2 linked regions of the Coturnix japonica genome follow. The protein of the gene in region 2 interacts with the protein of the main gene of each other region in a pairwise test. Links are inferred from orthologs where the notes say so. Each region holds a gene or a part of one and is shown on either strand. Other genes may lie near its edges. The genes, in order: NR2E1 and BCL11A.

Evidence for each region.
Region 1: the proteins of BCL11A (region 2) and NR2E1 interact in a two-hybrid assay, tested with the Homo sapiens proteins (2 studies listed by BioGRID). The link is inferred for Coturnix japonica from reciprocal best matches to the Homo sapiens genes BCL11A and NR2E1.

Annotation. Positions count from the first base shown.
Region 1 is NC_029518.1:61,370,264-61,374,555, reverse strand, and holds the start of NR2E1 (nuclear receptor subfamily 2 group E member 1), read left to right. Parts: upstream 1-1,190; 5' UTR 1,191-1,775; coding exon 1,776-1,800; intron 1,801-4,292. UniProt on the Homo sapiens protein: Orphan receptor that binds DNA as a monomer to hormone response elements (HRE) containing an extended core motif half-site sequence 5'-AAGGTCA-3' in which the 5' flanking nucleotides participate in determining receptor specificity.
Region 2 is NC_029518.1:5,618,642-5,622,446, reverse strand, and holds part of BCL11A (B-cell lymphoma/leukemia 11A), read right to left. Parts: intron 2,728-3,805; exon of another isoform or gene 2,502-2,727; coding exon of another isoform or gene 2,474-2,501; intron 2,366-2,473; coding exon 2,036-2,365; intron 1-2,035. UniProt on the Homo sapiens protein: Transcription factor. Associated with the BAF SWI/SNF chromatin remodeling complex. Binds to the 5'-TGACCA-3' sequence motif in regulatory regions of target genes, including a distal promoter of the HBG1 hemoglobin subunit gamma-1 gene.

The sequences.
Region 1 (4,292 bases), about 56 Mb from region 2:
TTATGGTGTAGGTGTGTGCACTGGCTGCTGGTGTTTTGTACTTCTAAGGAGTTATGAGGAGACAGCATCTTCTGTATCGAGACATCTTCTGAGATGTAGCTTAATAAGGGAGAAAAGGAAAGGAATAATAATAATAATTAATAATAATAATAAAAGAATATAAAAGCCAGTGATGCAGCTGCTCACCACCCACTGACTGGTGTCCAGTGAGTCCCCATGCAACAGTCCCCTCCCATTCACCTCCCCCCCCTGTTAGGATCCAGCACGGCTCCACACAGTACGGACCATCCCCTTGGCCATTCGAGGTCCCTGCCCTCCTTCTGTCCCCTCCTGGTGCTTGTGCACCCCTGGTCCCCCCCCTACGTGGCAGCACGGGGAGCTGAAACGCCCTTGACTGTGCTGCACCGCTCAGCAACAGCCAAAACATCAGTGTGTCATCAGTGTGATTCTCATCAAATCCAAACCATAGCACCACAGCAGCTACTAGGAAGAAAGTTAGTTCTTTTCCAGCTGAAACCAGGATGAGGGGCTGCCGTAGGGCCAGAGATGTGCCCTGTGAGTGCGAGACACACACACAGGGCCAGGTTTGGGTTCTGCTGCTACGCAGTCCCACTTCGGATTGCAAACCGTGCTGACGCGCTCCTCTGCTTTTCTGGTGCTTCAGACTTTGCTCAGGAAGGCAAACCATCAAGGGAGTGACGTCCTGCCCGCATCCCTGTTCTGCCCGTGCTTTTGCTTCTTGCGATCCCCCTGAGCAACGTCCGACGACGTGCAACCACTGCTCTACAACCTTGTCTTGGTCCAAGGTCCCCTCCGAGCCCCGGGTGCGACTGTGGGAGCGCACCCTTATCTCCAGCATCTCGCTTTTTGCTCCCCCTCTCCTTCCCGGGGGAAACCGTGGAGAAAATGCGGGAGAAACGGGACGGCGATCCCTCCTCGCTCCTCCTATTGTCTCCTATTTTATTTCCCCCCTTCTTTCCCATCTATTTATTCATCTATTTATTTGGGTCGGGGTCGCCGTTAGGGACGGGGGTTGCGGGAGCCGCTCGGATCTTCACGACCACCGTCGGTACCGACCCCCCCCCCTCCATTCCCTCCCTGCCCCCTCCCCGCCCGGTGACGTCACTCGCCGCCGAGATTTGGGGGGGACGCGCGGGAGCGCCGTGGGCGGGGGGCGGCATCTCCCCTCCCCGCAACGCTGTCACCGCGCCGCCGATATTATAGGGCCGAGGGCTGCGGCTCCGAGCGCCGAGTCAGCGGTGTAATGAACTTCTGGAAACCTTTCCCTTTTTCCAGCCTTCACTTTCTGAGAGGCTGAGACTGCCTCCTCTGACGCCTTTTCCCCCTGCCATTCTTTTGCCGGCTCTGATCTCCTGCTCCGCGCGAAGCCCGCTCCATCCCACCTTCCCCTCCGCTCATTGTGCCGCGGCCCCGAGTCCCGCCGGCAGCGCTCCGCCACCCCCGCACCCTCCCGGGGTCCCGAGCGCTCCAGCTCGCGGGGAGAGCTCCTTCTTCGGCTCATTTCGTTTCTTTATTATTATTTTTGGCCCTTCGGCTCCCGTGTTTTGTCTCGTTTTTTGGTTTGCTCTTTTTCTGTTGTTTTTTTTTCCTTTTCTCCGTCTGTTCCTGCGCCTCGGAAGCACCTCCCGGCGAGGATGTGTCGGCCCCAGCGGGCGAAGCAGCGCTGAGAGGCCGAGGGAGGCACCCACCCGCCCGCCGCAGCCGGGGGGGGCACCGCGCTGCGCCCCGACGGAGCGGCTCCCGGGGCTCCGAGCATGAGCAAGCCGGCGGGATCAACAAGTGGGTAACGGCGCGGCCGGGCTGCTGGGCCCCCCCGAGCCTGGGGGATGGGGTGGGGAAAGAGAAAATGAAGGGCTGGGGGGGGGGGGGGGGGGGGGGGGGGGGGGAGTGAAGTTTGGGTTCGCAATCCCGATAATTAAAAAGAAAACCAAAAGAAAGAAAGAAGGAAAGAAAGAAAGAGTTCGTATTGCACAGGTTGCCCTCCGGAGCGGCAACGAACGGGGGGCTCCGTGCTGAGCGCTGTCCCGCCGCTCCCTCCCCGACCCCTCGGGGATGGGGTGATGGGGCTGCGGGGTTCGGGGCACGCTGCCCCCTCCGCCGGACTTTGAGCAGCCTCCTCCGGCACGACCCTTTTCTTTTATTATTATTGTTATTGTTATTATTTCTGGTCAAAAAAGAGTTCCCAACTCCTACCGCTCGAATCTTGTAAGCGGCTCCGCCGAAGGAGGATTTAACAGCGGCACCGCGCACGGCATTTCCCGTTACACCGAATAATCCCGCAACGGGGAAAGCAGAAACAACGGAAAAGTCACATTTTCCTTAATCCTAAATCCGTGCTCCTCATAAGTGGGGAATTTAAAGCCGCCCGAGCGCCGCCGCACAGCGGCTCCGTCAGAGTAATCCCAACGGGACCTTCGGAGTTGGCAATATGGATGGAGTCGGTGACAAAGGGGGAAAAAATACCCAATCCAATTTAATGTCTGACAAGTGATGGCTCGGACGTTTATTTCCTCCGCGCTCCGGCATCGAAAGAAGCCGGGGGCGGGAGGGGGCCGCGGGGGGACGGGACCGCGGCCTTCCCTCGCCGCTGCCCCTCCGTTGCCCTCAGCCGGGGCCGAGAGGCTGCGGCCGACGGCGGCCCTCGGTGCGGAAAGCGGGCTGGAGCTGCCCGGTGGGGAAAGCGGGAGGGCCGGAAACCTCTGCACCGAAGGGGACGTATTGCGGAGAAGGAGCCCGCGGGGCCGCTGAGCCCCTCTGCTCCCTGCCGGGCCTTCCCGAGGGCTCCGAACCCTCGGCCTCCCCCCTCCCCCCCATCAGGGGATGGGGACGAGCGGGGACGGGAGTCCGAGCCGCGTTCCCTGGCCCGGCGACCGCCCGCTGAGCGCTGGGGGCTCCCGGCAGAGCGGAGGGGGGGGGACTCGGCCGGGCTGTGCTGCGGGTCCGCCTGGGTGGCAGCGAGCCCCAGTCCCTCCGGGCCGGGCTAACTTCTTTCAACAGCCCCTGATGGTAATTACAGTAATCGGGGCTGCCATCTATCCTTTAAGCAATTATGACAAGCACAAAAAAGCTCCCGAGGACCCCCCGTCGCGGGATGGTCACAACGGTTTCCCGGCTGAACCGAGAATGAGAAACCCCGTTTCCTTAGCGCTAAACTTCTGGGACGGAGCCGTTCTTCGGGAGCCGAGGAGCTTCGAAACAAGAGTTTCCCGTCCATCTCCCGACCCCGCGTTACCGTTTGCCGTTTTCCCGTCTCTCGTTCCGAGTTTTCCCACCGCCGTGATTGCGGCGGGGCACGGGAGATCGCGGCCGTGATTGCGGCGGGCGCGGAGCGGAGCGGGGAGCGGCGGAGATGAGATCTCGGGAGGAGCAGATGTGTGCGTGGTACATCAGCCCTCTATGGTGTATATAAGCGTGTGTGTGTGCGTGTGTATTTTTTATAGATCTGGGAAATGCGTCTGACTATTATTATTATTTATTTATATTATTATTATTATTATTATTGTTATCATTATTTTTTAAGCAGCCGCCAGCCTTAAAACCCGCCTGGGGAGAAGCACGCTGTGTAAGCGGCCCAAGTTCCCCTCTGCCACTCTCCGTGTCCCCTCGGCTCTCCGCTGAGCTCTGTCCGGGGCTCCCGGCCCCCACGGGTTGGGGTGTGCGCGGGGTGCTCCGAGTCTTCACCTCCCCCCCAAAAAACCGGGGCACTCCTCCTCCTTTGTGTGTGTGTGTGTGTGTGTGTACGCGGATCGTCGCCCCGCGGATGCGGAGGGCCGCAGGGGGAAGTGGAGCGCTCTCCCCCGTCGGCATTGTGCGCCATCCGAATTCCCATGCTACACTTTTTGACGGGTCACTGGTGTCCCAATGGGCAGGTGGCGAGGGGAACTTGTAATTACGCGCTCCCAGAGGCCGAGCCTCGGCCCCGGCCCTCCCCACGGGCGCTACCTGCAGCTCCGGGCCGCGGCCTGCGGCGGGCGGCAGACAGGGGGGGTTAGAGGGGGGGGCGGCCGTACTTGTTATTAATTGCGGAAAAGTTTTGAATGCTTTCACCTCTCCCTCCCGCCCGCCCCTCCCCGCGCGGTGCCGGCCCTAATCCCCGTCCCTCCGCCGCGCTGTGTGCAGCAGCTGTCGGCTCTCATTTGGGGAGAAGCTGGCAGCTTGCGCTCCTCGGGGGCAGTCAGACGGGGCTCAGCGGGCAGAATCATTAAGTTAACACTTTATCTAATGTCCCCATTGTCTGCCCGGAGGCATTGTCTTAGGGCCTCGGCGGAGAC
Region 2 (3,805 bases):
GAGTGTTTGACATACATATTGATGAAAGCTGCCTCGTTGGACTCACACAACAGATCCTATTAATTCCCAGTTAAATTTATGGCATTTCAGCTACAGAGCCAGATCAGCACTGCTCCCAATTTTACATCACATCAAAGCGGCGCTCACCCGCCTGCAGCCAGGTACGCACATGTGTACACCGTCCCTGTCGCATAGAGTACGCGAGGTGCTCAGGGTGCTAAGGCTGCATGGATGCACAGGGTCCATGGGGTGCTCAGGGTGTACAGGCTGCTTGGAGTGCTGTTACCACTCCATCCTTGGAAGCAGGAGGCCTGCAATGCATCCATGCCAGTTGGAGCAGCCATCACTGGAGCAGCCATCATTCCGCGTTCAGTGGCCCAGAGCTCGCTCCTGCAGATGGTCTGCTCCTTAACCATTACTCACTCAAGGTGACTTGCTGAACACAACAAACCCACAGACAAAGCACGCCCTGTACCCACAGCCCACCTCCAGCACCTCTGTCAGAGGAACAACTGACTGGGAGCGCTTTTACATCGCTGCTAAATGCACATCTTCTGGTCTCTCACCAGAGAACATCAGCTTGCTCAATTCCTGAGTATGCATCCAAAAGCAGCCTCCTACCTTTTTTTTAACCTTTTTTTTTTTTTAAAAAAAAAAACACCTGTAAACTCAGTTATCTCCTGATAGACGGGAAAAAAAGCAGATACAAAGCTAGAAAGCACCCAAGGCTCACTGCAGAGACACCACAGCCCTAAGTCCATGGCTATCCCAGCCCTGAGCCTGCATCTCACTGCTGACCCCAGGCACTGCTGCTGGGCATCATGAGCACGCGTGTCCCACACCAGATGGGCACTGGCTACATCCCCAGGCCCTGTGCTGAGGAGTTCCCCAGCATGCCCACGGCCCAGCTCACAGCCTGAACAGCCTATTTGGAACCACGCGGAGGACTGCTCCTAATTCCTGCCTGACAGATACTGCATTCTGTCTTTGAAGCAGAGCTGCTCAATATGTAAATACAGAGTTACATCACATCGCCGTTCCTCCATATTTGGTGATTTAGTATGGCTCCAGCTCTAGGAAGACCACAAATCCCTTCCACCGGGCTCCCACACAATTAATCACAGCCTCCTGTCGTGTTCATTTGCTGTGTGTCACAGTCAGCACGTGGAAATGGGCACTACACTGCACCACTCCGGAAAAAGCCCCCCAACATCCATCCCTGGCAAACTGAGGATACAGAATTATTTAACCTTATTTACAAAATACTGGCACAGCAAATGGCTCTCCGGTTAAAATATACATATATGTGCTAAGAAAAGGAATTATTTACCCTATTGTAAAAACACGCTTCATGCCAATTGTTGCACAAAGCAGAACCTGGCCTCGGACATTTGTCCGAATGACATGTGGTTGTGTAAATCACAAACAAAATCAAGATACATCTGTCAAAACCACCATCAGAGACAAGAGTGAGCGCGGAGAGGCATTTATCATTTGGCTGAGGAGGCAGGCTGCAGAGAGCGGCCTTTCCTGTCAAACCAACCTTTTGAAATTTCCAACATGCCCTTAAACTTTTCGAATAAGCATGTCTGTGCGCTTCAGCAACTGCCCTCTCTACTCTGGCCTGGCCAGTCGAAAATGGCATCTTAAAGTCAAGGTCGGTGGTGTCACTTTGCCATGGGGCTGTGTTTAATTACAGTCCATACGCTGACAGCCAATATGGGAACCTAGGCTGGCTGATGCTCACTTAACTCCTTCACTGCCAGCTCTACCCACGGCTCAACAGCTCCTTCCCTGCACATGCAGAGGGCCAGACCTCCTCCTGCAGCGCGACGGCGACTACGGCACAGCTCGATGTGAGTGCAGCTGCACACAGTGCCGCCAGACACACTGGGCTGCGCTACACACGCCTGCCGCTCTGCCTCTGCGCAGCCACCAGGAGCACAGCCAGGCACAAGACTCCACTGCGTGAGACCGCGGACACGCAACTGGAACAGAAATAAGCTCACAAACACTTCTCCTCATTTTAATTTACCTGCTATGTGTTCCTGTTTCGGGCAAATTCCTCTCGATGACGTTGACAAACAATCATCATCCTCTGGTGTAACCTGGATGCCAACCTCCACGGGATTGGATGCTTTTTTCAGCTCACTTGGTGAGGGTGAGGGTGGCTTATCCACAGCCTTCTCTAAGCAGAGACTGCCATTGCATTGTTTCCGTTTGTGCTCTATAAAAACCAAGATGTCTCCCAGCGGGAAGTTCATCTGACACTGGCCACAGGTGAGGAGGTCGTGGTCCCCTTCTGGAGCTCCCAACGTGCTATGGTCAGGTTCATCGTCGGTGAGAATGGCTTCAAGAGGTTCAGCTGTGTTTGGAGAAACAAAAGAGACACATTAGAACTCTGGTAATGAGCACCGGGCACAGGGGCAAACGGGAAGCTCCCAGCCATGAGCATTGCTGTGTGCCCCCTCACCCCCAGCAAAGAAGTGCCCCGTAACCATCACCACTGCAATAGGAATCAAATTCACTGGCCACCAAGAACACACTGTGCAGGAGCAGCCGCAGCCTGTAGAACCCTGCCACTGTATCTGCTCCTGTGGATGAGGACAGATTTCTGACTCGATTTAACGATTTACTGGTAAAATCAAATGAACAGCCTATGAGAATGTGCTGCAAAGCTGCGGTGGTGCTAGGAAAACAAGTGAATACTGTGCTTTATCACCAGATGTATTATTTATGTACATGAATTCAAGGCTGAAAGCATTGCACGCGCGCACACACACACACAGGGGGGTATTTCCCAGAGCCAGACCCACTTTGTAAAATTTTTGCTCATGAATGACACGTGTGCATGCAGAGGAAAGGTTCCAGCACACACCCTGTGTGTGCAACATGCAGGCAGCACAAGCACTACAAGCAGGAGCAGAGGGAAGGCAGAGAGATGGGGCTCTCCCCATGCAGGTGCGTGTGTGCCCGTGTGCCACTGCCCACTTTGGTGGCTCATAATTTGCACACTGAAAAAAGCAGCAGCCGCTCATGGAAAGAAAAAGAGGGAGAAAATAAAGAAACAGCAGAGAAGGAACTGATAAAAATCAAGTGCAGTCAAAATTCCTGCGGGGTGGGAGGAGGATCCTCTCGCTATCCAGCTGCTCCTCGAGGTTCAAATAAATTCCAAATTCACCAACAATTCCACCCAGAGATATCAACCACATAGGACATGGTACAGCACTCAAAGACGTGAGGCAATTAGTAATTTTTCCTTTTTCATCCTGAAATAAAGGCATGCCTAAATTCTCTGCACTGTGTTAGTACCGGTGGCCTTTCACCGTACACCAACCAGTGTGGCCAAGCAAATGCCACCGTTCTTAACAGCAGAGAGGTGCTTTCTGTGAGATCGAAATACCTCAGCTAATGTTGTCAAAGTTGACAAATTTTCTGAATGAGCTCCAAAAAGCTTCATTATGAGGCTATTTCTGTCCACATAATCATCAGAGGATGCTCTAACAAGGTAGACTCGTCTTTCTTTTTCTCTTTGCCTGTTTTTTTTTTTTCCCTGAGTTTGCACGACAATAGCTCAGCACTGCGTGTACAGCGTGTACAGCGTACAGCCCCCAGCGCCGTGTACAGCCCCCACCACTGTAGGCTTGCCGAAACAAAACAGAGCAGCACAGTGCTATTCCCCAGCCTGTGCAGCACTGCACGTGCTAATGGGAACGGCAGAAAGGAGAGCGTGCTGCAGGCGCAGAGCACCGCCAGTCGCTACCAGGTAACATGGGCGAGACGGAACGCAACTCCTAAACAGTTA